2 linked regions of the Stegostoma tigrinum genome follow. The protein of the gene in region 1 interacts with the protein of each later gene in a pairwise test. Links are inferred from orthologs where the notes say so. Each region holds a gene or a part of one and is shown on either strand. Other genes may lie near its edges.

Evidence for each region.
Region 2: the proteins of kif9 (region 1) and prmt6 interact in a two-hybrid assay, tested with the Homo sapiens proteins (2 studies listed by BioGRID and IntAct). The link is inferred for Stegostoma tigrinum from reciprocal best matches to the Homo sapiens genes KIF9 and PRMT6.

Annotation. Positions count from the first base shown.
Region 1 is NC_081358.1:95,685,094-95,700,965, forward strand, and holds the start of kif9 (kinesin-like protein KIF9), read right to left. Parts: upstream 8,616-15,872; 5' UTR 8,301-8,615; intron 4,603-8,300; 5' UTR 4,591-4,602; coding exon 4,495-4,590; intron 1-4,494. UniProt on the Homo sapiens protein: Essential for normal male fertility and for progressive motility of spermatozoa.
Region 2 is NC_081380.1:4,859,933-4,875,688, reverse strand, and holds prmt6 (protein arginine N-methyltransferase 6), read left to right. Parts: upstream 1-8,696; 5' UTR 8,697-8,942; coding exon 8,943-10,490; 3' UTR 10,491-10,633; coding exon of another isoform or gene 10,634-10,693; 3' UTR 10,694-11,753; downstream 11,754-15,756. UniProt on the Homo sapiens protein: Arginine methyltransferase that can catalyze the formation of both omega-N monomethylarginine (MMA) and asymmetrical dimethylarginine (aDMA), with a strong preference for the formation of aDMA.

The sequences.
Region 1 (15,872 bases):
CATGGATATGGTATGTAGACAAGGTCTTTTCCCCAGGGTAAGGAAGTCCAAAACTACAGAGTTTAGGTTTAAGGTAAGAGGGAAAGATTTAAAAGGGACTTAAGGAGCAGAGGGTGGTGCATGTATACAATAGCCGCCAGTGGAGTGATGGAGGCTGGTACAATTACAACATTTAAAAGGCATCTGGATGGGTATATGAATGGGAAGTACTCAGAGGGATATGGCCAAATGCTGGTAAATGGGACTAGATTAAATTAGGATATCTGGTCAGCATGGACAAGTTGGACTGAACAGTCCATTTTCATGCTGTACACCTCTATGACTCTATGAGTCACACTTTACTTACATGTGCTTAGTACTGGGCTTTGCCCAACTTGCTCAAAACCAGTCCCAAGACCGAGGAGGCTCTCTGAATCACCTGTTTTTATCTGTAAGCTAAGTCTCCCTGATTGGCCCGAGTTAACAACCCCAATCAAGGATCTCATAGTCAATGAGATCCATCTAGCTCTGGTTCCAATAATTACACGCCTTTTCCCCAAGTCCAGGGATGCAGGCCTGTTCTTTCTTTTGTAGCTTCTTCAGGGAAGAATCCACCCCAGGTCTGGTTCTACTGATGTGGACTCAGGACACGGACAGCATGTACCATAATCTTGCCCAGACTGTCTTGGGGGAGTTTCCTTCTCTTCTTCTGTTGCTAATGGTATTGAGACTGCATCCTTCTGGGACTCTGAGAACCCATAGTTTCTGATACGCCTTCTGGCTGTTCTGAGGGCCAAGTATGTTTTGCTCCATTTGCAAGGTAGCAGCTTTCAGGTGATTCACATGTTTATTCAGGATCACCTCACCTGCTTGTATTTTATATGGTATAGGACATGACCTTGCTACTGACCTTGCTTCATATCCATGCAGGACCATTTCCATGGTTTTGACACCAAATGCCGTCCCCTGACTTAAACTGTCCTTCTATCTTAGACGTGTCATGTAGCCAGCACTGGCGTTCCTGCTGGAATTTTACCCATTCCACCCCACCCAAACCCCTTACCCCACCCACCCCGGTCTGGGAATATCAGGTTTAACCTGGTGCAGAATCTTCACCCCGTCAGCAATTCTGCTGGAAACTACCCCTGTAGTTGCATGAGGGCTGGTCTTATAATCAAACAGAAAGCAGGACAGTTTGGCGCCGAGTGAAGCTGCAGGCTGTTTCTTAGGCCTACCTTCAACATTTGAATTGCTTTTTCTGCCAAACCAATGGACGATGGATTGTACAGAGCTGACTGAACAAGCTGAACACCATTCAATTTTTGGTAAATGACATCTCATTGTCCATGACCAATATGTGTAGGAGTCCATGTATCATACATGATGCTCGCAGGTTTTCAATTGTCACCTGTGTTTGAACACTATGCATGCCCAACCATTTTGAATGGGTATCCACAATGACCAAGCACATTGAGCCCATGAAAGGACCAGCATTGTCAATGTGTAACCGAGTCCAGGTTTTAGCCAGTCATTCCTAGCAGGAGCTGCTGGCAGTAATTTTTGTCTTTGTTGGCACTCTGGCACTACCCCACTACCTACGTCGCTATCCAATCCTGGCCACCAGACATAACTTCTTGCAAAACTTTCATTTTGGATACCTCTGGATGACCCTGGTGAAGTTCAGCCGGTACCTGGCAGTGACCTTTAAATCAGGCCAATCACTCTTGCTTCTCATAGTAATATGCCACCCTCTATGGTAATCTGGTCTTATCAGGTCTGGGAAGTTTTCATTCTTGGTTGTGATGGCTCTTTTGTTTCCCCCATTACCTCCAGTTGCTTTAGCTTTGTTATGATAGGAGATTTTAGTGTCCACAGTCAGGTATTGTCAGTGGTGACCAGAACAGTGCCCAGAAAGTTTAAAACCAGAATGGACTCTTCCAGCGGAGGAACCACCAGAAGTGTGTGCCAGTGGGGGATGGCTCAAGGCATCCACATTTGCCATTGCATCTTGGACTGTGTTCCAACTTGTATGCACTCAGAACAGGCCTGCTGCTGAATTCAACCAGAAGCTATGGGTGGCACAAGCCTTGTTTTTAAGTAGTCCTAGCAGGGGTTTGTGGTGCATTACTATTAAAAATCCATGTATGTAAAGGTATTGGAGGAACTTTCTCACACCAAAGATGGCCACCAAACTTTCATTCTCTATTGAAGCAATTTGCGTTCAGTATCAGCCCAAGTCTGGGAGGCCAAAGCTGTCAGGCATTCCACTCCATTGGGCCAGCAGTGAGCTAACACTGCCCTGATACCATCTGGGGAATAAATGAATGTCAGCATCACCTCTTGCTCGGGTATGTAGTAGGCCAACTCGTTAGATAACAACAGTTGCTTCTTCACTTCCCTCAAGGCTACTTCTTGGCTATTCAGTCATTTCCAAGGCTGACCCTTTTTCAATAGCAGGTGTAAGACAGCCAAGCTGGAGGCCAGGTTATGTATGATTTGTAATAATTTACCAACCCAAGGAAAGAGCTCCAGTACGCATGCAGGAGCCAGGGCACCTTTGAGTGCACTCACTTTATCTTCTAATAGGTAATGAGGAGGAATGGAATGGGCACCTCAAGATTTTGAAGGACGCCATCATAAGAATGGGATTTGATGCTCAAATCATTGATCACCAGTTCTGATGTGCCACAGTGAAAAACCGCAAAGCCCTCCTCAGAAGACAGATTCAGGGTACGATCAATAGAATACAGTGCATCATTCAGTACTTTCGCAGAGTGGAGAGATGGCACCATGTTCTTTGCAGCCTTCAACACATTATTGATGATGATAAGCATCTCGCCAAGATCATCCCTATACCTTCAAACAACCGCCAAACCTTAAAGTGACTATTGTTCGCAGCAAACTACCCAGCCTTCAGGACAACATTGACCACAACGCTACACAACGCTGCCATGGCAAGCTCTGCAAAACATGACAGATCATTGGCATGGATACTACCATCACACATGAGAATATCACCCATCACGTACACGGCAGATACTCATGTGACTTGGGCAATGTTGCCTATCTCATACGCTACAGGATTGAATGCCCTGAGGCAGAGTATATTGGCGTGACCATGCAGATGCCAGGACAACAGATTAATGGACACTGCGCAACAATCACCAGACAGGAATATTCCCTGCCAGTTGAACATTTCAACAGTCAAGAATATTCAGCCTTCAACATTTGGGTAAACGTCCACTGAGGTAACTTTTGAGATACACAACACAGAATTGCCGAGCAGAAATTGATAGCCAAGTTCCGTACACATGAAGTTGGCCTCAACCGTGATTGTGTGTTCATGTCACGCTACATGCAACCCCACCACACTGTTCTATATCTGTAAAATCTTCCCTACTGTACTATTATGACTCCGTCACCTTGACAAATTGTTATGGTCTCTCTACCTTAATTAGTTTGTACAGTGTTGGATTACTTATTACTTTGGTTAGACCCTCGGCATGCAACTCTTATACCTATCATGTTATTCCTGTCATTTGGTTTGTCTCCAACATCAACTTATTTTTAAGCTTTTATAATTAACTCCATGCCTCACTTAATCGGATTATATGTCATCCCTTCACTTGTTATTTAACTGTTGGCACTTTACTCACATCGTCTGACATGTGATCACCAGCAGAGACGTATTATTCAACCCTCCACTCACACCATTTGTATGATCGTTTGATCTATCTGCCTTTGATCTCTCTGCCCATAAATTTTGTTTCTTGGAGCTTCTTTCTCACTTCACCTGAGGAAGGTGCTATGCTCCGAAAGCCCGTGATTTCAAATAAATCTGTTGGGCTATTTTAAAAAACCCAAAAGATCTGCAGATGCTGTAAGTCAAGAACAAAAACAAAAGTTGCTGGAAAAGCTCAGCTGGTCTGGCAGCATCTGTGAAGAAAAATGTTCTGAGGAAGGGTCACCGGACCTGAAATGTTAACCCAGATTTTTTCTTCATAGATGCTGCCAGGCCTGCTGAGCTTTTCCAGCAATTTCTGTTTTTGTTCCTGTTGAACTATAACCTTGTGTTGTCTGATTTCTGATTTAATCAAGAAATGCATTATATTAGCATCAGGGGGCTACCGTGATGGTAGTACATGAAGTGTGGACCTTCTCTTGTCCAGCAATTTCTGTGTCCTTGAAAATAATCCTTCAATTTCTAACTAAAAGACATGTTGCAATCCTCAAGTTTTAATTATAGTATATATATTGTGGTCAGCAACAGAAGATGTCAACAAGCAATATATGCAGTTGTTCATGTCACAGTAGATAGTTAATTCTCCTAAGACTGAAAATGAGTCTAAATTTTTTAGACAGCCAGTTGACCAGGAAGAATGGGTGATGATATGGTGATGTGATGTTCATCTTCCATTAGGAGTTGTTAGAGGCTCTGAAGACATCAACTCTTCACTGTGATTTCTCAATATAAATAAAACATACAGGAGAGTCTTCTGTAATGGTCTTTCTTACCTGATTGTCAGGTAAAAACTCAATCATATCTGATGCAAAATTAGTTGTTGTTCTGACTCTGGCGAACACCTTCACACCACTGCTTTTGCTGCTCATCTTCAACTAAAACTGCAATGAAGAATAGTTAGACCATAAAATGTCAAGTGATCCTTTTTTTTTCAAAATGATACGATAGAAATTCACATATCAAAATTAATCCAAATGGTAAGTGGCACTTTAAGCAGGGTAAATGAATGCCTAAAAATATAAGATACTCATAGATCAATGGAATTAGCAAAACAGTGCCAAATGGATTTCAATGTACATGAGACTTCATCCACTTTTAGCTAAAAAGGGTATTTACTAAATGAGGGAAAGTTTAAAATAGTGTAAGTAAAGAGATAAGTAAAATTAGCATGGGTGTGAAGAATATTTTAAAAGGCTAATGGATTTCTGTCCTTTATATCTAAAGGACCACAATGCAGCTTTAGCTGCATAAAGCAATGATTAGGCCATACCTAGGGTCAAGTAAGCAAATCTAGATGTCACACCATTCAAATACTTTGTTAAGTCAAGTTAGGAAGGGTGAACTGATTCCTTTCCTTGTCCCGCTCCTGTACTGGTCAAAATAAAATTTAAATTTAAAAAGGAGGGAATATTGTCAATTGTAATTCAGTACAAGAAACAAGTCAGCCAGGTTCCTTAAGTAATAAACAAATAACTAATTTATGGGAAACCAAACTTGCTCAAACATAGATGTAAAGATTATTAACAAGTGGTTAGAAATGCAAAAATATACACAACTGTCCTTCTTTCAAATTACAATACACAACCTCCAATTTTGACAGCAAAGTATTAAACACTGCCAAGTGTTTTGGCACTGGAATGTCTTCCTGGACCAGCTATGACTGGCTAATAATATTTTAATGCAGACGGTGATGTAGATTTCCAAGTCTCCTTTTGGAAACCTCCATTTAGAGGGATGAAATCTTCCAGTGAATTTTCAACTCTCAAACTCTGACAACAATGATTTCAAGGAGGAGAAAGAGGGCAAAGGCTGTTGCGTTTGGGAGAGCTTATCTTGCATTTTCGTGTTAAAATCCAATAGTTTCATTTGGATCTACAAACTGTGTCATGTGATATCTCCAGAAGTGTTGTCGGCTTATTGACTTCAGTTGAGCAGCTTCTGTTCTTTGCAAATGCAACCTTTCTTTGTGCTGCGGCCAGTCTCCTTAGCTTTAAAGGTATTCTTTTCAACAATTAGCAATGGATTCATTGTCATCATTAGACTATTAATTCCAGATTTTCATTGAATTCAAGTTCTACCATCTGCCATGGCAGGATTTGAACCACGGTCCCTGGGACATTACCTGGGTCTCTGAATTAGCAGTCCAGCCATAAAAACACATGGCCATCACCTTCGCTAAGTTCAATTAGATTTTAAATTTATACTTCAAATAACACATCTTCATATCAATGTAGTGACCATAAAGGAGTTTTATTTTTTCTGAAAAGCCTTTTGTTTTAAATTATGAGGGAAGTTTACATAAGCTACGATCATATCTCCTGAAACTTAAAAAGTTACGCTGAGTTGATCAAATTTTACAAGATATGAAAGGGACCAAATATGGTTAAGAGAGAGGAAACTATTCTGGCTAGCAAGGAAGTCTCAGGAAGTTAAAAATTGCTAAAAGGAGATTAGAACAAAGAACAAAAAAAAATACAGTACAGGAATAAGCCCATTCAGCACTCCAAGCTGCACCGACATGCTGCCCATCACAACAAAAAGCCCATACCCTTATGGGAACCGTATCTCTCTATTCCCATCTTATTCATATATTTGTAAAGACGCCCCTTAAAGTCACTGTAGTATCTGCTTCCACCACCTCCCCCAGCAGTGAGTTCCAGGCACCCACCACCCTTTGTGTAAAAAACTTGCCTCATACATCACCTTTAAGCCTTGCCACTCACAGCTTAAACCATGGCCCCTGGTAACTGACTCTTCCATCCTGGGAAAAAACTTCTGACTGTCCAAATTGTCCATGCCCTTCATAATCTTGTAGAACTCTATCCGGTGCCCCCTCAACCTCCATCATTCCAGTGAGAACAACCTAAGTTTCTCAGATATAGTAGGAACTGCAGATGCTGGAGAATCTGAGATAACAAGGTGTAGAGCTGGATGAACACAGCAGGCCGAGCAGCATCAGAGGAGCAGGAAAGCTGACTTTTTGGGCCTAGACCCTTCTTCAGAAAAAGGGTCGGGCCCACAACGTCAGCTTTCCTGCTCCTCTGATGCTGCTTGGCCTGGTGTGTTCGTCCAGCTCTACATCTTGTTATCCAAGTTTTTCCAACCTCTCCTCATAGCTAATGTCCTCCATACCAAGCAATATCCTGCTAAGGTAATTAGGTATTGGAGCATTCTGTCTTGCAACCATCAGAGCTAGGTTACAAGAAACAAACTTAACAAAAACAATACCATTTCACATAGCACAAGTGGGGATGCTGATTAGTTGGGCCACCATTGGCATGGAGAGGCAGTAAGAACAGTTAACCATCACTGCTATTTCCAGACCAGGCAGGTAGATTTTGATTGAACAGAGCATTGCCATTGAGATAAAGCAGACTTTGTCTGTCTCCATTACCCAGTTCTAAGTTGCTTATAAATGTGAGTTTTATTCTCTGCTGTGTTCCTATCATGTCTGCATATCTCAATGAATAATAATGCTGAAAATGTTAACATACAAACTTGAACTACACTAGTAAGTCATTGAACCATAGAAGGCAGACTGGCATTCATACACAGTCTCTCTCCGGTATTAGTTGCTGCATAGTAATCAGGACCAGGAATAAGAATGCACTTTGTTTTCTCCATCCAAGCTCAGGAAACGTTCATTTGAATTGTAGTGTCTCTCAATTCCTCACCAAGGTTCTTACTCTGGATCAGACTTTATCTGGAATGGAATTTTAAACCTGCTAAACATCAATACCGCGGCTAGGAATTTTATCAAGGTTTTCTTCCAACTTTCGAAAAAGTAGATACGCCCTTTTTGAGATGTTAGCGTTTGCTTAGTCATTGCATTCAGTTCTATGTCAGATGCTGGCTTGAGTTTAAGACCACTCCAGGGACTTGGCGCATCATTTTGGGTACAATTGAGGGGATGCTTCACTTCCATGCAATCCGGCTACCTGCTGAGATGCCAAAGTGAGGCACCATCTACTCACAAGAAAATAAAAGATCCTCCGGCATTCTAGGGAGGCGTTGCTTGGTACTGTGACCAATACTTATCCCTCAATCAATTTGCGAGTAAAACGATAATCTGATTTATTTTTGTGGAACTTTTGGGTGCCTATGTTTTCTGGATCACATCAATGGCTGTACTTTAAAAATATTTCAATGGTTGTTTTGTTTGTGTTTGTTGTGGGGTGAAAGGAACATTATGCAATTTTTTTTTCATTCTAAGACTTTGATCCTTATGGGGGCTGTATAGACTTTCCCAGCACCTCGCCTGGGTAGTGGCGGTTTTGATGGTTAGGGGACGGCTATTCTTGATTTAGGTCAGCCCAACATACCCAGTGTCACCAAGGAAGCCAGGGTCCTCATTCTCTCGCCTGGTGTATGCCTGCAACCCCTTGTCAGCACAAGTGGTTTTACGGCATATGGAGACCAAGCCAAAAATCCCACTTTCCCCTCCGGCCGATTATAGTCAACGGCAAAAAGGAAAATGAGGTACGGGAGAAGTCGTATTGACCACATTGAGGCCTGGAGTGGCTGCAAAGGGACAGCTGCAAACTCTGTCTATAAACTGAGTGAAATGATCACGACTTACTGTCCCCGATGTTTTCTCTCTCTCCCTCACTCTCTATCTCCCGCAGGAGGCTCCAACAACACCATCTCCCAGACGCCGGGCCGCCATCACCATGGAAACAGTTCCCAAGGTGACCAGACGGTGTAGGGCCCAGAGCAGCTAAACCCCATATTTTCCGGGTCCGGATTCAGCGCGGATCTCACTTCAGTTTGTAATTAAAGCCGATTCCATTGGACTCGCTTTATTTCAGAATTTCTTTGTGATTTACGAGCGCACGAGGGCAGCAGTTGCTAAGGCCACTGTCGCTGGGGAAACGCGAAGCGCGGCAACGGCAACAGCTGGCCGTCGACACGTGAGGCGGATCGTCCCCGCCCACCTCTGCCGGCTCAGACCCCACCCCCACCAACGGCCCGGCCCCTGCCCCGCCCACCACATCTGGCTGCCCCACCCCATGGCCTCGGCCCGCCTCCTGCAGCCTTCGCCTTAATTTCAGGTGTGTGTTCGTCACTGCTGGGGGACGAACTAGACTCAAACAACTTAGGGAAAGAACTAGTAGGGACTACAGCTGCTGGAGAATCTGAGATAACAAGGAGTGGAGCTGGGTGAACACAGCAGGCCAAGCAGCATCAGAGGAGCAGGAAAGCTAGCATTATCAGAGCCTGCTCCTGTTCAGCTAGCTAAGTCCAATGATCTCGAAATTCCCATCATTTATTCACTCCCTATGTGAATATGTCCTTTTGAACAAACGTATCGCACTTAAAAATAACAGGTTTAAGTTTGATTCCACGGTGACATGTAAATACTTCTGCGCTTCTGATCAGCTCAGCAATTAGCAGACATATTCATATAGACAGGCCACTGGAAAACTCGTGCTCTCAATCTTAAAGCAAGGGGTAGCGTCCTCAAATCGGTCAGAATGTAACGATTTTTAAATTCACACCACAGACTCAGGACATATGATGCCCGAGAGTTCTGGTCTTTCAGCAATGCAAATCTAATTTTAAGGTCTCAGCCCTTCACGATCTAAACGTCCCACAGCACGAGTGAAAGAACAGGATATCCTGCCAGCATATATTGCTTAACCATTTTCCTTGTACATTGCGCAAATTAGCTTCTATTTCTTACGGCGTACGCTTGCAAATACTTAGCAGTGTAGAGAAACTGATGTCGTGAAATGTAACACATAAATGCAACTCCTTTCATTTCATCTGCTTCAGTTTGAATGACTGATAAGCATGATCGTTATTAGTACTATACCTTTATTTCAGACCTCAAGCGATCAGTGCCTCATGATATTATTTGTTTTGTGCAGAGATTGCAACACATAGAAAACGAAATTAACCAGTAGAGAAACAGGACCACTCCCATGGATAGGGGTAGGTTTGATTTTCATTTCATGGTCAAGTTTTCATCTTTCCATTTGATAACCCGGTTGCTCATTTCAGCTGCATATACATTTTATTTATAAACTGTTTTACAACAACACTAGCGTGAAAGGTGATGTGGTTCCCTGTATTGTGTGCGCAATGTCCACGCATAGTTGTACTTAAAAAAAATCATGGAATGGTGGAGCAGACTTGAGGGGCTGAAAGTCTAACTTCTACTTCTATGTCTTGCATTTCATGTATCAAAACTTAATCCTTTTAAGAATAGCTTAGAACTAGTTGAGTTTTGATTAGTCATTTTAGCTGATAACAGCTTTTTACTTCCATATTTCTTTTCAGAATAACTGAATTTAAATTTGCAAATTATCATAATACAGTTAGCATTGATGTTTTGACCAACCTAAGTCTCTGAATGATCAGAGTCAGTAGGAACTGCAGATGGTGGACAATTTGAGATAACAAGGTATAGAGCTGGATGAACGCAGCAGGCCACACAGCATCAGAGGAGCAGGAAAGCTGACGTTTCGGGCCTACACCCTTCTTCTGAAGAAGAGTCTGAAGAAGGGATAGAAAGAGCAAGATTAGGGAACCATGGATGACAGGTGAAATTGTAAGACTAGCAAAGAGGAAGAAGGAAGCATACATAAGGTCTAAGATAACAAAGTGTGGGGCTGGATGAACACAGCAGGCCAAGCAGCATCTCAGGAGCACAAAAGCTAACGTTTCGAGCTAGACCCTTCATCAGAAAAGGGGATGGGAAGAGGATTCTGAAATAAATAGGGAGAGAGGGGGAGGTGGACCGAAGATGGATAGAGAAGATAGATGGAGAGGAGAGTAAGGGTGGGGAGGGAGAGGAGATAGGTCAGTCTGGGGAGGACGGACAGGTCAAGGGGGCGGGATGGCATGAGTAGGTAGGAAATGGAGGTGCGGCTTGAGGTGGGAGTAGGGGATAGGTGAGAGGAAGAACAGGTTAGGTAGGCAGGGACGAGCTGGGCTGGTTTTGGGATGCAGCGGCGGGGGTGGGGGGGGGGGGGTGGGGGGAGGATTTTGAAACTGATGAAATCCACATTGATACCATTGGGCTGCAGGGTTCCCAAGCGGAATATGAGTTGCTGTTCCTGCAACCTATGGGTGGCATCATTATGGCACTGCTGGAGGCTCTGGATGGACATGTCATCTAAGGAATGTGAGGGGTAGTTGAAATGGTTTGCGACTGGGAGGTGCAGTTGTTTACTGTGAACCGAGCATAGGTGTTCTGCAAAGCGGTCCCCAAGTCTCTGCTTGGTTTCCCCTATGTAGAGGTAGCCACGCCAGGTACGGCAAATGCTGTATAACACATTGGCGGATATGGAGGTGAAATTCTGATTGACGTGGAAAGTCATCTTGGGGCCTGGGATGAGGGTGAGGGAGGTGGTGTGGGGGCAGGTGTAGCACTTCCTGTGGCTGCAGGGGAAAGTGCCTGGTGTGGTGGGGTTGGAGGGGAGTGTGGAGCGGACAAGGGAGTCGCGGAGAGAGTGGTCTCGCTGGAAGGCAGACAAGGGTGGGGATGGAAAGATGTCTTTAGTGGTGGGGTCGGATTGTAGATAGCACAAGGTTCGGAGGATGATGCGTTGTATCTGGAGGTTGGTGGGGTGGTATGAGAGAACTAGGGGTATTCTCTTTTGGCGGTTATTGCGAGGGCGGGGTGTGAGGTGTGGGAAATGCAGGAGACACGGTCGAGGGCGTTCTTGACCACCGCGGGGGGGGGGGGGGGGGGGAAAGAGTTGGGGTCCTTGACAAATGAGGACATCAGGGATGTGCAGGAGTGGAATGCCTCATCCTGGGAGCAGATGCGGCAGAGGCAAAGGAATTGGGAATAGAGGATGGAATTTTTGCAGGAAGGTGGGGGGAGGTGGTGTATTCCAGGTAGCTGTGAGAGTCGGTGGGCTTGAAATGGACATCGGTTTGTAGGTGGTTGCTTGAGATGGAGACAGAAAGGTCCAGGAAGGTGAGGGATGTGTTAGAGATGGTCCAGGTGAACTTGAGGTTGGGGTGGAAGGTGTTGGTGAAATGGATGAACTGTTCGAGCTCCTCTTGGGAGCATGTATCGGCGTCGATACAGTCATCAATGTAACGGAGGAAGAGGTGGGGTTTAGACGCCTGAAAACAGACGAAACTTTGGAAGAATCAGGACCAATCTAAAACAAGGAATTAAGAGGGCTAAAAGGGGTCATGAAATATCTTTAGCAAACACGGTCAAGGAAAATCCCCAAAGCCTTTTATTCATACATAAGGAGCAAGAGGGTAACTCAAGAAAGGGTTGGCCCACTCAAGGACAAAGGAGGGAAGTTATGTGAGTAGTCAGGGAAATTGAGTGAGATTCTTAATGAGTACTTTGTGTCAGTATTCACTGAAGAGACTGGCGTGATGGATGTTGAGGTTAGGGACAGATGTTTGATTACTCCAGGCCAAGTCAGCATAAAGAGGCAGGGAAGTGTTGGGTGTCCTAAAAGGCATGAGGGTGGACAAGTCTGGATGGGATCTATCCCAGGTTACTGAGGGAAGCGAGAGAAGAAATAGCTGGGGCCTTAACAGATATCTTTGCAGCATCCTTGAGCATGGGTGAGGTCCCGGAGGACTGGAGAATTGCTAATGATGTCCCCTTGTTTAAGAAGGGTAGCAAGGATAATCCAGGTAATTATAGACCGGTGAGCCTGACATCAATGGTGGGGAACCTGCTGGAGAAGATACTGAGGGATAGGATCTATATACATTTGGAAGAAAATGGGCTTATTAGTGATAGGCAGCTTGTTTTTGTGCAAGGGAGGTCATGTCTTACCAACTTGATAGGATCCTTTGAGGAAATGACAAAGTTGATAGATGAGGGAAAGGCTGTAGATGTCATATACATGGACTTCAGTAAGGCATTTGATAAGGTTTCCCATGGTAGGCTGATGGAGAAAGTGAAGTCGCATGGGGTTCCAGATGTACTAGCTAGATGGATAGAGAATTGGCTGGGCAACAGAAGACAGAGAGTTGTAGTGGAAAGGAGTTTCTCAAATTGGAGACCTGTGACCAGTGGTGTTCCACTGTTGGGACCACTGTTGTTTGTGATGTACATAAATGATCTGGAGGAAGGTATAGATGGCCTGATTAGCAAGTTTGCAGATGACACTAAGATTGGTAGAACAGCAGATAGTGAAGGGGACTGTCGGAGAATGCAGCAAAATACAGACAGATTAGAGATTTGGGTGGAGGAATAGCAGATGGAGTTCAATCCAGGCAAATGTGAGGTAATGCATTTTGTAGGATCCAATTCAAGAGCAAACTACAAGGTAAATGGCAAAGCCCTGGGGAAAACTGATGCACAGAGAGATCTGGGGTTCAGGTCCATTGTACACTGAAGGTCACTACGCAGGTCAAGAGTGGTCAAGAAGGCACATGGCATGCTTTCATTCATTGGATGGGCTATTGAGTACAAGAGTTGGCAAGTCATGTTGCAGTTGAATGACACTTTGGTTCAAGCACATTTGGAATACTGCGGACAGTTCTGGTCGCCACATTACCAAAAGGATGTGGATGATTTGGACAGGCTGCAGAGGAGGTTCACCAGGATGTTGCCTGATAAGGAGGGCACTGGCTATGAAGACACGTTAATTAGATTAGGATTATTTACATTAGAAAGACAGAGGTTGAAGGGGGACCTGATTGAGGTCAACAAAATCATGAGAGGTATAGACAAGGTGGATAGCAAGAAGATTTTTTTTTACAGAGTGGGGGACTCAATTACTAGGGGTCACAATTTCAAGGTGAGAGGGGAAAAGTTTAAGGGAGATATGCGTGGCAAGTTCTTTACGCAGAGTGTGGTGGGTGCCTGGAACACGTTGCCAGCGGAGGTGGTAAAGGTGGGCACGCTAGTGTCATTTAAGATGTATCTACACAGGTACATAAATGGGCAGGGAGCAGAGGGATACAGATACTTGGAAAATAGGTGACAGGTTTACATAGAGGATCTGGATTGGCGCAGGCTTGGGGGGCCAAAGGGCCTGTTCCTGTGCTGAAATTTTCTTTGTTCCTTGATCAGCGTAGTAACATAACCGTTGTATTACTATACCAGATCTATCTTACTAGACTGTGCTTCAGGCAGAACTATCTCAGATTAGACTGTTGGACAGAAAGCTGCAGTATTTTATTCTGCATGTTACCATTCCTCAAAACAAAACTGGAAGGAATTGAGAGAGAAGGATCCAGAAATCGCAAAGAATCAAGGAGAAACAAAAACCCCAAAATAAGAAACTGAAAAAAGAAAGTAGAGGTGAAATTTGGCAATTACAGAAATCTGTGCAGGTTAGGCGAATCGGCCATGCTAAACTGCCCAACATGTCAAGGGATGTGCAGCCTAGATGGATTAGCCTGGGAGAATGTTGGGTTATGGGGATAGGTTGGGGAGTAGGTCTGGGTGGGATGCTTTTCAGAGGGGCAGTGTGGACTCAACTGGCCAAATGGTCTGCCTCCATACCTGTAGGGATTCTATGATTTATGATTTTCTCAAAAAGCATATGACTTGAATTTCAGTAGGGTGATTCAATGTGTGCACAAACAAAAATCAAAGCATGATATTTTTAAATATATGTATTTATAAAACATTTTCCATTTTCAGTGTTTTTGAAAGCAAAAGTTCAAGTCACATACACCACAAACAGTAAGTGGACAAACAGATCTAAAAAAAGGCCACAAGATATATTTTTACACTTAAGGCATCTTCTCTGTAACAATGTGCACGTGCGTACGCACACACACATGCACACGCACACGCACAGACAAACAGAAAAAGGGAAAACACATGTACCTGTACACATAAATGCATTGAATTTAAATTCAGTGTCTATGGAATGTACTCATTGAAACACCTATTCTCCAATCAGGCAGTGGAATAAACACAAAGGCAGCTGTTGTTTCCTTAAAAATAAAAGCTTCAAATCCAAGCAGTGACTATTGGCTTTATAACTTGACCTAATTTTGTTTTTAAACTGCTGATAGAAAATACCCATAGCGGTGTCTCTTGTTGTTTGCTGTAATGGTCTAATGTACATAGTGCAAAACACCACACTTGAAAATATATCCACTTTCCATTTTCAAAACCTCTTCAAAAAAATCTTCTTCACAATCACATGTTCACAAAAGTATCAACATTTCTTTTACAAATCACAGTACTCAAGTAGATGTCCAACAAATTTAAATAAAATTTAGTTGCCTTCTCCAACAAGCCAAAGTATATTAATTCACATACACATGAAACGTTTTACAACAAGAAAGTATTCAGCCTGCTAGCAGGAAATTTGACATTGATGTTGCTGCCTTATTTTAAGATAATGACAACAAATCTGCATATTCTGGCAGTATGGAGTAGATATCAACTAAATGTGGAAAATCTGTTTTATGTTCCCTTCTCCTTGATTCAATTTTTGTTGAAACAGGCTCCTAAATGGAAGAAGTAAACAAGTCCAAAAGTGCTCTTAATTTAGGATCACTGAGTCCACTGTCTGCTCTCAATCAACAACCAATGTGAGACTCAAAAATTGCAGAGACTTATTGGGCACAATTCTAAAAATCATTGCTAGGAGTTTGGAGGAAAGACCACAAATTAGTTTGAGATCAGAAGATGCCAGGGTCTTCAACTCTGCAAGCAGGCAGCTTAATATTTTTATGATGCTTCCTCTCAAGTATCAAATTTGCCGAGCACTCCCAGTCCCTTAAGATAAGTGGATACTCGAGAAACTGAGTGCTAATGACACTCAGCTGGTGGCACATGCAGTGGCAGTGTGGGTGGCAGGTGCCACAAGTTGGAGGAAAGGAAAGTTAAGAACGCACATGGAATTTATTGGAATGATTATGTTACAACATTTGGTTGCATCCTATCATATTGTAGCCAGAAAGTAATTTATCATACCATTTGGGAATATAATAACCTCATATCACCATACATATTTGTAACTCTAAATATAATATTGTTGCTGCTGCTCTGTGATCAATTTAGATGGTGAACTGGTTGTGCCTCTGATTGTGGTCAGAGTTTGGGCTAATGCTAATTTCGTAAGGGATGTTTATTAAGCATATAACAGAAATGAAAGCTGGCTTAATTTAAAAATTGAAACGTTGGGAACAAGTGATGTTTGTAGATTCACTATGATGAAACTTCAATATCTAAAAATCAGGACTTTCCTTCCAG
Region 2 (15,756 bases), on another chromosome or scaffold:
TCCGTGTCACACAGACCCCTGCCCTCTCGGTGACAGCCAGACAGACCCCTGCCCTCTCGGTGACTGACAGACAGACCCCTGCCCTCTCGGTGACAGGCAAATAGACCCTGCCCTCTCGGTGACTGACAGACACCTGCCCTCTCGATGTCAGACAGACCCCTGCCCTCTCGGTGACTGACAGAGAGACAGAGCCCTGCCCTCTCAGTTACAGACAGACAGACCCCTGCCCTCTTGGTGACTGACAGACCCCTGCCCTCTCGGTGACTGACTGACATAACCCGGCCCTCTCGTTGAGTGACAGACAGACAGACCCCCTGCCCTCTCGGTGACAGATAGACAGACCCCTGCCCTCTCAGTGACTGACTGACAGAAAGGCTCCTGCCCTCTCGGGGACTGACAGACAGATCCCTGCCCTCTCAGTGACTGACTGACAAACCCCTGCCCTCTCGGTGACTGACAGACAGACAGACCGCTGCCCTCTCGGTGACTGACTGGCCCCTGCCCTCCCGGTGACTGACAGACAGACAGACCGCTGCCCTCTCGGTGACTGACAGACCCCTGCCCTCTCAGTGACTGACTGACCCCTGCCCTCCCGGTGACTGACAGACAGACAGACCGCTGCCCTCTCGGTGACTGACTGACCCCTGCCCTCCCGGTGACTGACAGACAGACCCCTTCCCTCTCGGTGACAACCAGACAGACAGACCCCTGCCCTCTCGGTGACCGACAGAGCCCTGCCCTCTCCGTGTCACACAGACCCCTGCCCTCTCGGTGACAGCCAGACAGACCCCTGCCCTCACGGTGACAGGCAAATAGACCCCTGCCCTCTCAGTGACTGACAGACAGACCCCTGCCCTCTCGGTGGGAGACAGACCCCGGCCCTCTCGGTGACAGGCAAATAGACCCCTGCCCTCTCAGTGACTGACAGACAGACCCCTGCCCTCTCGGTGGGAGACAGACCCCGGCCCTCTCGGTGACAGACAGACAGACCCCGGCCCTCTCGGTGGGAGACAGACAGAGCCCTGCCCTCTCGGTGGGAGACAGAGCCCTGCCCTCTCGGTGGGAGACAGAGCCCTGCCCTCTCGGTGGGAGACAGAGCCCTGCCCTCTCGGTGGGAGACAGAGCCCGGCCCTCTCGGTGGGAGACAGACAGACCCCGGCCCTCTCGGTGGGAGACAGACCCCGGCCCTCTCGGTGACAGACAGACAGACCCCTGCCCTCTCGGTGGGAGACAGACCCCGGCCCTCTCGGTGACAGACAGACAGACCCCTGCCCTCTCGGTGGGAGACAGACCCCGGCCCTCTCGGTGACAGACAGACAGACCCCTGCCCTCTCGGTGGGAGACAGACCCCGGCCCTCTCGGTGACAGACAGACAGACCCCTGCCCTCTCGGTGGGAGACAGACCCCGGCCCTCTCGGTGACAGACAGACCCCTGCCCTCTCGGTGGGAGACAGACCCCGGCCCTCTCGGTGACAGACAGACAGACCCCTGCCCTCTCGGTGGGAGACAGACCCCGGCCCTCTCGGTGACAGACAGACAGAGCCCTGCCCTCTCGGTGGGAGACAGACCCCGGCCCTCTCGGTGACAGACAGACAGAGCCCTGCCCTCTCGGTGGGAGACAGACCCCGGCCCTCTCGGTGACAGACAGACAGACCCCGGCCCTCTCGGTGACAGACAGACAGAGCCCTGCCCTCTCGGTGACAGACAGACAGAGCCCTGCCCTCTCGGTGACAGACAGACAGAGCCCTGCCCTCTCGGTGGGAGACAGACCCCGGCCCTCTCGGTGACAGACAGACAGAGCCCGGCCCTCTCGGTGGGAGACAGACCCCGGCCCTCTCGGTGACAGACAGACAGAGCCCGGCCCTCTCGGTGACAGACAGACAGAGCCCTGCCCTCTCGGTGGGAGACAGACCCCGGCCCTCTCGGTGACAGACAGACAGAGCCCGGCCCTCTCGGTGACAGACAGACAGAGCCCTGCCCTCTCGGTGGGAGACAGAGCCCGGCCCTCTCGGTGACAGACAGACAGAGCCCTGCCCTCTCGGTGGGAGACAGACCCCGGCCCTCTCGGTGACAGACAGACAGACCCCGGCCCTCTCGGTGACAGACAGACAGAGCCCGGCCCTCTCGGTGACAGACAGACAGAGCCCTGCCCTCTCGGTGGGAGACAGACCCCGGCCCTCTCGGTGACAGACAGACAGAGCCCGGCCCTCTCGGTGACAGACAGACAGAGCCCTGCCCTCTCGGTGGGAGACAGAGCCCGGCCCTCTCGGTGACAGACAGACAGAGCCCTGCCCTCTCGGTGGGAGACAGAGCCCTGCCCTCTCGGTGGGAGACAGAGCCCTGCCCTCTCGGTGGGAGACAGAGCCCTGCCCTCTCGGTGGGAGACAGAGCCCTGCCCTCTCGGTGGGAGACAGAGCCCTGCCCTCTCGGTGGGAGACAGAGCCCTGCCCTCTCGGTGGGAGACAGAGCCCTGCCCTCTCGGTGGGAGACAGAGCCCTGCCCTCTCGGTGGGAGACAGAGCCCTGCCCTCTCGGTGGGAGACAGAGCCCTGCCCTCTCGGTGGGAGACAGAGCCCTGCCCTCTCGGTGGGAGACAGACAGACTCCTGCCCTCTCGGTGACTGACGGACAGACAGACAGACAGACCCCGGCCCTCTTGGTGACAGACAGACAGACTCCTGCCCTCTCGGTGACTGACGGACAGACAGACAGACAGACCCCGGCCCTCTCAGTGACAGACAAACAGACCCCTGCCCTCTCGGGGACTGACAGACCCCTGCCCTCTCGGTGACTGACAGAAAGGCCGTTGCCCTCTCAGTGACTGACTGACAGAAAGGCCCCTGCCCTCTCGGTGACTGACAGACAGATCCCTGCCTGCTCGGTGACTGACAGACCCCTGCTCTCTCGGTGACTGACAGAGAGACTGATGGCTGCCCTTTCGTTGACAGACAGACAGACCGCTGCCCTCTCGGTGACTGACAGACCGCTGCCCTCTCGGTGACTGACTGACAGACCGCTGCCCTCTCGGTGACTGACTGACAGACCGCTGCCCTCTCGGTCACTGACAGACAGACAGACCGCTGCCCTCTCAGTGATTGACAGACCGCTGCCCTCTCGGTGACTGACAGACCGCTGCCCTCTCGGTGACTGACAGACCGCTGCCCTCTCGGTGACTGACAGACCGCTGCCCTCTCGGTGACTGACAGACCCCAGCCTTCTCGGTGACTGACTGACAGACCCCTGCCCTCTCGGTGACTGACAGACAGACCCCTGCCCTCTCGGTGACTGACAGACAGACCCCTGCCCTCACGGTGACTGACAGACAGACCCCTGCCCTCACGGTGACTGACAGACAGACCCCTGCCCTCTCGGTGTCAAACAGACAGACAGACACCTGCCCTCTCGGTGTCAGACAGACCCCTGCCCTCTCGGTGTCAGACAGACAGACAGACCCCTGCCCTCTCGGTGTCAGACAGACCCCTGCCCTCTCGGTGTCAGACAGACCCCTGCCCTCTCGGTGACAGACAGACAGACCCCTGCCCTCTCGGTGACTGACAGACAGACAGACCCCTCCCCTCTCGGCGACAGACAGACCCCTGCCCTCTCGGTGACAGGCAAATAGACCCCTGCCCTCTCGGTGACCGACAGACAGACAGGCCCCTGCCCTCTTGGTGACAGACAGACAGACCCCTGCCCTCTCGGTGACTGACAGACGGACAGAGCCCTGCCCTCTCGGTGACTGACAGACGGACAGAGCCCTGCCCTCTCGATGTCAGACAGACACCTGCCCTCTCGGTGTCAGACAGACCCCTGCCCTCTCGGTGTCAGACAGACCCCTGCCCTCTCGGTGTCAGACAGACCCCTGCCCTCTCGGTGTCAGACAGACCCCTGCCCTCTCGGTGTCAGACAGACCCCTGCCCTCTCGGTGACTGACAGAGAGACAGAGCCCTGCCCTCTCAGTTACAGACAGAGAGACCTCTGCCCTCTCGGTGACAGACAGACAGACAGACAGACCCCTGCCCTCTTGGTGACTGACAGACCCCTGCCCTCTCGGTGACTGACTGACATAACCCGGCCCTCTCGTTGAGTGACAGACATACAGACCCCCTGCCCTCTCGGTGACAGATAGACAGACCCCTGCCCTCTCAGTGACTGACTGACAGAAAGGCTCCTGCCCTCTCGGGGACTGACAGACAGATCCCTGCCCTCTCAGTGACTGACTGACAAACCCCTGCCCTCTCGGTGACTGACAGACAGACAGACCGCTGCCCTCTCGGTGACTGACTGACCCCTGCCCTCCCGGTGACTGACAGACAGACCCCTTCCCTCTCGGTGACAACCAGACAGACAGACCCCTGCCCTCTCGGTGACAGACAGGCCCCTGCCCTCTTGGTGACAGACAGACAGACCCCTGCCCTCTCGGTGACCGACAGACCCCTGCCCTCTCGGTGACAGCCAGACAGACCCCTGCCCTCACGGTGACAGGCAAATAGACCCCTGCCCTCTCAGTGACTGACAGACAGACCCCTGCCCTCTCGGTGGGAGACAGACAGACCCCTGCCCTCTCAGTGACTGACAGACAGACCCCTGCCCTCTCGGTGGGAGACAGACAGACCCCGGCCCTCTCAGTGACAGACAGACAGACCCCTGCCCTCTCGGTGGGAGACAGAGCCCTGCCCTCTCGGTGGGAGACAGAGCCCTCCCCTCTCGGTGGGAGACAGACAGACTCCTGCCCTCTCGGTGACTGACGGACAGACAGACAGACAGACCCCGGCCCTCTCAGTGACAGACAAACAGACCCCTGCCCTCTCGGTGACAGACAGACAGACCCCTCCCCTCTCGGTGACTCACAGACAGACAGATCCCTGCCCTCTCGGTGACAGACTGTCAGACAGACCCCTGCCCTCTCCGTGACTGACAGACTCCTGCCCTCTCAGTGACAGACAGACAGACCGCTGCCCTCTCGGTGACAGACAGGGCTCTGCCCTCTCGGTCATTGACAGACAGACAGACCCCTGTCCTCTCAGTGACAGACAGACCCCTGCCCTCTCGGTGAGAGACAGACAGACCCCTGTCCTCTCAGTGACAGACAGACCCCTGCCCTCTTGGTGACAGACAGACCCCTGCCCTCTCGGTGACAGACAGACAGACCGCTGCCCTCTCGGTGACTGACAGACCCCTGCCCTCTCGGTGACAGACAGACAGACAGACCCGTGACCTCTCGGTGACTGACAGACCCCTGCCCTCTCAGTGACAGACTGACAGACCCCGGGCCTCTCATTGAGTGACAAACAGACAGACAGGCCCCTGCCCTCTCAGTGACAGACTGACAGACCCCGGGCCCTCTCGTTCAGTGACAGAATGCTGCCCTTTCAGTGACAAACAGACAGACAGACCCCTGCCCTCTCGGTGACTGACAGACAGACAGGCCCCTGCCCTCGTGTTGACAGACAGACAGACCCCTGCCCTCTCGGTGACTGACAGACAGACAGACCCCTGCCCTCTCGGTGACTGACAGACCGCTGCCCTCTCAGTGACTAACTGACAGACCCCTGCCCTCTCGTTGACTGACAGACAGACTGATGGCTGCCCTTTCGTTGACAAACAGACAGACAGACTCCTGCCCTCTCAGTGAGAGACAGACAGACCTTTGCACTCTCGGTGACTGACAGACCCCTGCCCTCTCGGTGACTGACAGACAGACAGGCCCCTGCCCTCGTGTTGACAGACAGACAGACCCCTGCCCTCTCGGTGACTGACAGACCCCTGCCCTCTCGGTGACTGACAGGCCCCTGCCCTCTCGGTGACTGACAGACAGATCCCTGCCTTCTCGGTGACTGACAGACCGCTGCCCTCTCGGTGACTGACAGACAGATCCCTGCCTGCTCGGTGACTGACAGACCCCTGCTCTCTCGGTGACTGACAGACCGCTGCCCTCTCGGTGACTGACAGACAGACCGCTGCCCTCTCCGTGACTGACAGACCGCTGCCCTCTCGGTCACTGACAGACAGACAGACCGCTGCCCTCTCAGTGATTGACAGACCGCTGCCCTCTCGGTGACTGACAGACCGCTGCCCTCTCGGTGACTGACAGACCGCTGCCCTCTCGGTGACTGACTGACAGACCCCTGCCCTCTCGGTGACTGACAGACAGACCCCTGCCCTCACGGTGACTGACAGACAGACCCCTGCCCTCTCGGTGTCAAACAGACAGACAGACACCTGCCCTCTCGGTGACTGACAGACAGACAGGCCCCTGATCTCTTGGTGACTGACAGACAGAAAGGCCCCTGCCCTCTCGGTGACTGACAGACAGACAGACACTTGCCCTCTCGGTGACAGACAGACCGCTGCCCTCATGGCGACAGACACAGACCCCTGCCCTCTCGGTGACAAACAGACCGCTGCCCTCATGGCGACAGACACAGACCCCTGCCCTCTCGGGGACTGACAGACCCCTGCCCTCTCGGTGACTGACAGACAGACAGACGGCTGCCCTTTCGGTGACTAACTGACAGAAAGGCCGTTGCCCTCTCAGTGACTGACTGACAGAAAGGCCCCTGCCCTCTCGGTGACTGACAGACAGATCTCTGCCTGCTCGGTGACTGACAGACCCCTGCTCTCTCGGTGACTGACAAAGAGACTGATGGCTGCCCTTTCGTTGACAGACAGACAGACTCCTGCCCTCTCGGTGACTGACAGACCCCTGCCCTCTCGGTGACTGACAGACAGATCCCTGCCTGCTCGGTGACTGACAGACCCCTGCTCGCTCGGTGACTGACAGACCGCTGCCCTCTCGGTGACTGACTGACAGACCGCTGCCCTCTCGGTCACTGACTGACAGACCGCTGCCCTCTCGGTCACTGACTGACAGACCGCTGCCCTCTCGGTCACTGACAGACAGACCGCTGCCCTCTCGGTCACTGACAGACCGCTGCCCTCCGGTGACTGACAGACCCCAGCCTTCTCGGTGACTGACAGACAGACCCCTGCCCTCACGGTGACAGACAGACAGACCCCTGCCCTCACGGTGACAGACAGACAGACCCCTGCCCTCTCGGTGTCAAACAGACAGACAGACCCCTGCCCTCTCAGTGACTGACAGACAGACCCCTGCCCTCACGGTGACAGGCAGATAGACCCCTGCCCTCTCGGTGACTGACAGACAGACAGACACCTGCCCTCTCGGCGACAGACAGACAGACCCCTGCCCTCTCGGTGACTGACAGACCGACAGAGCCCTGCCCTCTCGGTGACTGACAGACCGACAGAGCCCTGCCCTCTCCGTGTCACACAGACCCCTGCCCTCTCGGTGACAGCCAGACAGACCCCTGCCCTCACGGTGACAGGCAAATAGACCCCTGCCCTCTCGGTGACAGGCAAATAGACCCCTGCCCTCTCGGTGACTGACAGACAGACAGACACCTGCCCTCTCGATGTCAGACAGACCCCTGCCCTCTCGGTGACTGACTGACATAACCCGGCCCTTTCGTTGAGTGACAGACAGACAGACCCCTGCCCTCTCGGTGACAGACAGTCAGACAGACCCCGGCCCTCTCCGTGACTGACAGGCCCCTGCCCTCTTGGTGACAGATAGACAGACCCCTGCCCTCTCAGTGACTGACTGACAGAAAGGCTCCTGCCCTCTCGGGGACTGACAGACAGATCCCTGCCCTCTCAGTGACTGACTGACAAACCCCTGCCCTCTCGGTGACTGACAGACAGACCCCTTCCCTCTCGGTGACAACCAGACAGACAGACCCCTGCCCTCTCGGTGACCGACAGAGCCCTGCCCTCTCCGTGTCACACAGACCCCTGCCCTCTCGGTGACAGCCAGACAGACCCCTGCCCTCACGGTGACAGGCAAATAGACCCCTGCCCTCTCAGTGACTGACAGACAGACCCCTGCCCTCTTGGTGGGAGACAGAGCCCTCCCCTCTCGGTGACTGACGGACAGACAGACCGCTCCCCTCTCGGTGACAGACAGACAGACCCCTCCCCTCTCGGTGACTGACAGACCCCTGCCCTCTCACTGACTGACTGACCCCTGCCCTCCCGGTGACTGACAGACAGACCCCTTCCCTCTCGGTGACAACCAGACAGACAGACCCCTTCCCTCTCGGTGACAACCAGACAGACAGACCCCTTCCCTCTCGGTGACAGACAGACAGACAGACCCCTGCCCTCTCAGTGACAGACAGACAGACCCCTGCCCTCTCGGTGGGAGACAGAGCCCTCCCCTCTCGGTGACAGACAGACAGACCCCTCCCCTCTCGGTGACTGACAGACAGACAGATCCCTGCCCTCTCGGTGACTGACAGACAGACAGACCCCTGCCCTCTCGATGTCAGACAGACAGACCCCTGCCCTCTCGGTGACTGACGGACAGACAGACCCCTGCCCTCTCGGTGACTGACGGACAGACAGACAGACCGACCCCTCCCCACTCGGTGACAGACAGACAGACCCCGGCCCTCTCAGTGACAGACAAACAGACCCCTCCTCTCTCGGTGACTGACAGACAGACAGATCCCTGCCCTCTCGATGTCAGACAGACCCCTGCCCTCTCGATGTCAGACAGACAGACCCCTGCCCTCTCGGTGACTGACAGACAGACCCCTCCCCTCTCGGTGACAGACTGACAGACAGACCCCTCCCCTCTCGGTGACTGACTGACAGACAGACCCCTCCCCTCTCGGTGACTGACTGACAGACAGACAGACCCCTGCGCCCTCGGTGACTGACAGACAGCCCCGAGCCCACCCCCAGGCAGCTGCTGCGTGTGAGGGAGAAGGGGGTGGGGCCGGCAGGTATGGAAGGGGGCGGCCCCGGGCTGTGGCTCTCCGCGGCGTTCGAGACTTCAGCTCCCGGGGCAGGCAGCGCTGGACAGGCCCAAGCCGAGGGCCCTAGAAACGCCATGAGGCCTGGACCCAGCGGAAACTAAATGGAGCCGGGTCCGCATCAGGCGAAGAGGCCGCGGCTGGAGGCCGAGCCCGAGGCCCGGCGGAGCGGGGGGCCAGGTCCCGAGGCCCGGGCCCGCCAGGACGGAGCCTATTTCCACTCGTACTCGGACGTGTCGATCCACGAGGAGATGATCGCGGACTCGGCGCGGACCGGTTGCTACCGCCGGGCCCTACAGGGAGGCCTGCGGCCTGCGGCCGGGCTCGAGCCCCGGGCTCGAGTGAGCCTGCTGCGGGACCGCACGGTGCTGGACGTGGGCGCGGGCACGGGCATCCTGAGCGTCTTCTGCGCGCAGGCGGGAGCGGCGCGCGTGTACGCGGCGGAGGCGAGCGCGGTGATGGCGGAGCGCGCCCGCGAGGTCGTCGAGGCGAACGGGCTGAGCGGCCGCGTGTGGGTGCTGAGGGGCCGGGTGGAGGAAGCCGAGCTGCCCGAGAGGGTGGACGCCATCGTCAGCGAGTGGATGGGCTACGGCCTCATGTACGAGTCGATGCTCCGCAGCGTGCTGCACGCCCGGGACCGATGGCTCAAACCGGGCGGCCTGCTCTTCCCGTGCCGAGCCGAGCTCTACATCGCCCCGGTCAGTGACCCGGCCCTGCACGAGCGCCTTTCCTTCTGGGACGGAGTCAAGGAGCAGCACGGCGTCGACATGGCCTGCATGGCCGCCTTCGCCCGCCGCTGCCTCATGACCGACGAGATGGTGGTGACCGGCCTGCACGGCGAGGACGTCCTGGCCCGGCCCACCATGTTCGCCGCCGTTGACCTCTACACCGTCACCGAGCAGCAGCTCGAGGAGCTAGGCGGCCTCTTCTCGGTCCCGGCCTTCGGCATCGCCACCATGCATGCCTTCGCCATCTGGTTTTCTGTCATCTTCCCGACGTCCGCCCCCACGGACCACACCGATGGTGGGCCAAGCGGTGTCCATGCCACCAGTGGCCACGACGATGGTCAGCGCTCGACCAGTGACCACGACGATGGTCAACGTTCAACTAGTGGCCCTGATGAAGCACAACATATGACCAGTGGTGGTGCTGATGGTCAGCATGCAACCAGTGGCTGTTCTTATGGCCATCAAGGGACCAGTCCCCGTGCTGACAGTCAGTGTGCAACCAGCAACAATGGTCATCGTGCGTCCACTGCCAAAGCCTTTACATCCCGTGTAACCAGTGCACACATCAGCAATGGAACTGTTGAGAGCCGCTTTGCCGTCACAGCCAATGGTGACAATCTCTGTGAATTTGATCTCAGTAATGAAACTAACCCTGTTACATTTGATGCCAACACTGATGAATCTGAGCCAGTTGTTTTGTCGACCTCACCTTTTGCAGAGGAAACTCATTGGAAACAGGCCTTGCTTTATCTGGATGAACCTGTGCAAGTGTTCCAGGATACTGTGATAAAAGGAAAAATAACTTTAACTCCAGCTGTAGATAATCCACGACATCTCCGGGTATCCTTGGTTTACGAGATTGGAGATAGTGGAAAGAAAACAAAAGTATTTAAAATGGGGGAGGATTTCTCTTCCTTTGAGTAACACTTTATCGCTGCTTGCACCCAAATGGACCCATAAGTGCCTGAACAGTTAAACGTTTTTGCTGTTTGTTTTCCAAAACGATTCAGTTGTTCTTTGAATGACTCATTGTGAAAAAATTGCCTTAACTCAATTAACCCATGCAGAGAGCCAAAGGAAGGAATGGGCAAGTCAGGAAGAAACATACAGCCCTAAAATGTCATTGACTTGCTGGATTGATGAATGTGGGACAAAAATAAATTAATTCAGAATGGTTGCTGCTTTTGAGTTGCCATTCGTGCATGTATACTTAAGAATTTTAATAACTTAATGAACAAACTTTGTTTGGTTTGTCGCTCCAATGTAACTTGTATGTGAATTTTTGCACTGGTGTTTCTCATGGTAAATTACTAGTTGCCTACTCTGAGTTAGTGTTCATGCAAAGTAAATTGACTCTCACTTGAAACATTTTCTGGTGCATTCATGCAGCCCAAGTGGTAACTAAACTAATTACTGCTTTGTGCTGTTTTAGCTGATTGCTGTCAGTGTTAGCCTCAGTATCCTTGTGAAAAGGAAAAGGACCACGTTCTATTTCGAAAGAAAATAAGACACAAGTCACTGTTTTGGAAAATCCTATGTCAGTTGGATCACAGGGATCTTACTTGAAGCATCAACTTTTAATTTTAAATGCTGGCTAACTTGTGTTTTTGCAATTTCTTTACTGGTTCATCACAAAGTACCATTGCAACTTTGTACCTTTGCAAACCCTTGCAGAAAATATTAATAGATCAATCAATTTTCAGTCACATACAGTTTTGAGCTTTCTGAAACGAATGACTCTTTTCTAAAATTGTTTGATTGAGCTCTGAACACTGTATCAACAATGAGATAAAACCAGTACTAAACCTGTCCTTTCTTGTGTACTGTGAAAGTGTTATGGGAGAGGTCTAAAACCCCAAGAGGTGCGTTGTTACAGAACACTTACCATATCCAAATGGACATATAATATTTTATGTATCAAGCAGGCCAAAGAAGTGTGTCACGCTGTTGGTGTTTTAAATTGTACCAAATTTGATATTTTGTTGAATTGTCGAAATGAACACTATTTATTTATAAAACATAACAAAGTGCTGTTTATTTTTCTTTATGCATTCATGATTGTTTGGCTGTGTGGGCATATATTGCAATATACAGTGGATTGTGTTTGTATCACAGTATACAGTTGGCTATGTGTGTGTGTATTATTGTACATTAGACCATAAATTATAGGGGCAGAAATAAGCCATTCAACCCAAAAAGTCTCCTGCAGCATTCGATCATATAGTTGGTTATGTATGAATTACAGTATACAGTTCCCTGTGTATGTGCATCACTGTACGTAGTAAGCTGTGGGTATATTACACTAAACGTATGGCTGGGCATGCATATTACAGTATACTGATGGCTGGGAGTATATCATAGTATACAGTTGGCCCTATTGTAGTTAGCTTTGCACATTACTGTATACAGTTGGTTTGTGTGTGTAATAAAGCACATAGTTGCCTGTGTGTGTGCACATTATAGTATAGTTGGCTATCTTATGTATATTTAAGTATCCATGTGGCTGTGTGTTTTACAGCATATAGTTAGTTGTGTCTATTATAGTAAACAGTTGGCTGTGTATTACAGTATATAGATGGCAGTGTATATTAGTTTGTGTGCATATTACAGTACAGTTGACTGTACATTACAGTCTGTGTAGATTACAGTATACATGTGGCTATGTATGTTACCAGTATATAGTTGGCTTACAGCATACAGTTGGGTGTGTGATATGGTATATAGTTGGCTGTATATGTTACAGCATACAGTTGGCTGTGTATTACAGGATAAAGCAGTCAGCATGTGTACTCTAGTATATAGTTGCTGTGTACATGACAGTATACAGGTCACTGTGTATTACAGTGTACATGAATATAAAGATGTGTATGTCACACTAAAGAACCTAAGGTATTATTCAAAAACAGGCAATTTTCTACAATTGCCCACTTTTTGTCCTGGAATCAATATTAAGAAAAAAGATTCACCTCACACTGTTCGTGAGAATTACTGCACATGATTCCCAAATAAGTGATTCCACTTCAGAAGTAATTGATCACATTGTTCACATTGTTCAATGTTAGCACTCTTGCCGCTCAGCCAGACAATTGTCAGTTTAAGCCCTGTTCTAGGCCAATGAACTGGTCTTTTTCTACGTTGTTTGTGAGATATTACCGTACATGAAATGGTTGCTGCATTTTCCTATTTTGCAACAATGACTTTGTTTCAAAAGTACTATATTGGTTATAAAGTACTTTGAATTGTATACAATTCAGCTCACCACATTTACAGGAAGGACGGTGTTGCAGATTGTGCTGGTGAGAGTGCGGAGCTAATTTACAAGGATACAGCTGATGTGCTACAATTGCAGAATGTGGGAACTTGGGGATTCTGGTCTAATCCAGGGTGCACACCCTTGTAGTAAGCACTGGGATGCTGCAGGAACTTTGGCTGAGAATCACTGAGTCGCAGACACTATGGCAAGTTAGGGAAAGAGAAATTTATCTGGACACTTTATTCCCAGAGGCAGTCACATCCCTTAAGATGAGCACTTCTGACTGAATAGTGGTCAGAGACAGGAGAGAATGACTGCAAGTGAGGAAGAAATGGGATCCGAAAAGCGTAAGCCCCAACCTTTACAATTGTCCAGGCTTCCCAGCCTGTTTGGTTGAGAGTGGGGACCTCAGGGTGGATGAGATAACTGGCCATGGCACCATGATAAATGAAACTGTTTAAGTGGTAGAGGAAGAAGGAATGTTATGATTAAAGAGGGCAATATAGTGAGAGGGATTGACACTTCTTGGCAGCAAAGAAAAGTGTATAGATGGTTGTGTTGTGTGCTTAGTAACAGGGTCTAGGATATCTGTACAGGCTGAAGAGCTTGCAATGGGAAGAGCAGAATGGAGTCATCGTGCCTTTCTGATGAAGGGTCTAGGCCCGAAACATCAGCTTTTGTGCTCCTAATATGCTGCTTGGCCTGCTGTGTTCATCCAGCCCCACACTTTGTTATCAAGAATGTACCAGTGGTCAGGACTGAATGCTACAGATTTTTGTTTAAATCTAAATGCTCTGCATCTGACTTCACATAGCATTTGAAACAAAGTAACTGAATTGATTGCACACATTGAATTAAATAAGGATGATCTGATAGCTATTATGGAAATTTGGATACAAGGCTTGTGTTCTCAATATTGAGAGACATGATATTAAAGAAGGATGGGAACCTTGGTAAGGGCTGGGGTCTGTGGGTGGGTAACTCTGTTACACAAGAATGGCACTGGTATAATAGAGATGATCTTGGTTCAGGAGATCAGGATGTAGAGTCAATTTGAAGAAAATGAGGAATCGTAAGGAAAATTAGTCACTTCATTTCACAAAGGATGGAGACAGAAAACAGGAGGCCGGTTAGCTTGATCCTAAATAAAGGAGTGGTCTACATGCCCTCTAACAGTAATCACAATGTGGGAGAAAGCATACAAGAAATATTGATAGCCTGTGATAAGGAACAGCAATAATTATGGGTGATTTATAAGCTGGAAACGTCAGCTTGGCAGTTGTAGCCTGGTTGAGCAGTGCAGAGTATGCTTTCAAAATTTTTTTTAGAGTAACACATACTTTAACAAACAAGAGGGCATGCAATGCCTGGCCTGGTATTGTGCTTTTTGATGAGATTGATGAATAATGTCAGAGCAAAGGCAGCTGTAGATAGCAGTGATCATAATGTGATTGAATTTGATATCCAGTTTGAAAGCAACAAGCATGTGTCCAAGACTGGTGTTGTAAACTTAAAAAATGGCAACTATGAGGTGTGGAAGCTGAGCGAGCTAAAATGAGTGGGGATATTGTGCTCGGGAGTAGGTCACTAGAAAAGCAGTGGCAGACATTGAATGGGGTGTTTCAGAATACCTACAATAAATATATCCCTACGATCAAGGATAAAATCAAACTTGAGGACCCACGCTCTGTGGTTAACTTAAGGATAGCATTGAACTGAAGGAAAAAGGGATTGGTTCTGGGTCATCATGTTTGTCATTTGTACAAATGATTTGGATGAGAATATAGAAGGCATGGCTAGTAAGTTTGCTGATGACACCAGAAGTGGTGGCATTGTAGACAGTAAAGAAGGTTTTCTAAGACTTACAAAGGGATCTTGATCAAATGGGTCAATGGGCTGGAAAATGGCAAATGGAGTTCAATCTGGTTAAATGCAAGGTATTGCGTTTTAGTACAACAAACAAGGTTTGGGCTTATACAATTAATAGTAGGGCCTTGGGTAGTGCTGTACAACAGAGGGACCTAGGGGTACAGATACTTCCTTTGAAGATTGCATCATACATAAATAGGGAGGTCATAAAGGGATTTGGTATGCTTTCCTTCATTGCTGAGTCCTTTGAGTACAGGAGTTGGGATGCTATGGTTGACGTTTTACAGGGCGTTCGTGAGGCCTCTTCTGGAGTATTGTGTTCAATTCTGGTCATCCTGTTATCGGTAGGATATTAAGTTGGAGAGGGTATGGAAGGTTTGAGTTAGAAAAAAAGGCTGGATAGGCTGGGACATTTTTCACTGGAGTGTAGGAGTTTTCAGGGTGACCTATTAGATGTTTATAAGATAATGAGAGGCATCGGTTGAGTTAATAGTAGTTTTCTTTCCCCGAGGATGGGGGATTTCAAGACTAGGGGACAAATTCTTAAGGTGAGAGGAGAAAGATTTTAAACAAAAGTGAGAGTGGTTCGTGTGTGGAATGAACTTCCTGAAGAAGTGGTGGATGTGGGTACAGTCGCAACATTTAAAAGACATTTGGATAAGTACATGAATAGGAAAGGCTTGGAGGGATATGAGCCAGGAACGGGCAGGTGGGCCTAGTTTAGTTTGGGATTATGATTTGATATGGACTGGTTGGACCGAAGGGTCTGTTTCTGTGCCGTATGACTATGAAAAAGCATATAATTGTGCAAAGGAGATTGACAGGTCATATGATTAGTCAGAATAAAAAGCAGGACAGAGAGTGACAAACTGGTTAACCAGAGCAAATAAATTAGAACATGAGAGGAAATTGGTTAGAAATATAGAGACAGACAGATATCAGTATCTTAAAAAGAAAGCAAGTAAAGTAAGTGTTAGTCCTCTGAACGGTGAAAATAAGAAGCCAATTGTAGACATAATGAAATGAATAAATATTTTTGCTTCTTTCTTCACCATAGGGTAAAGTCAC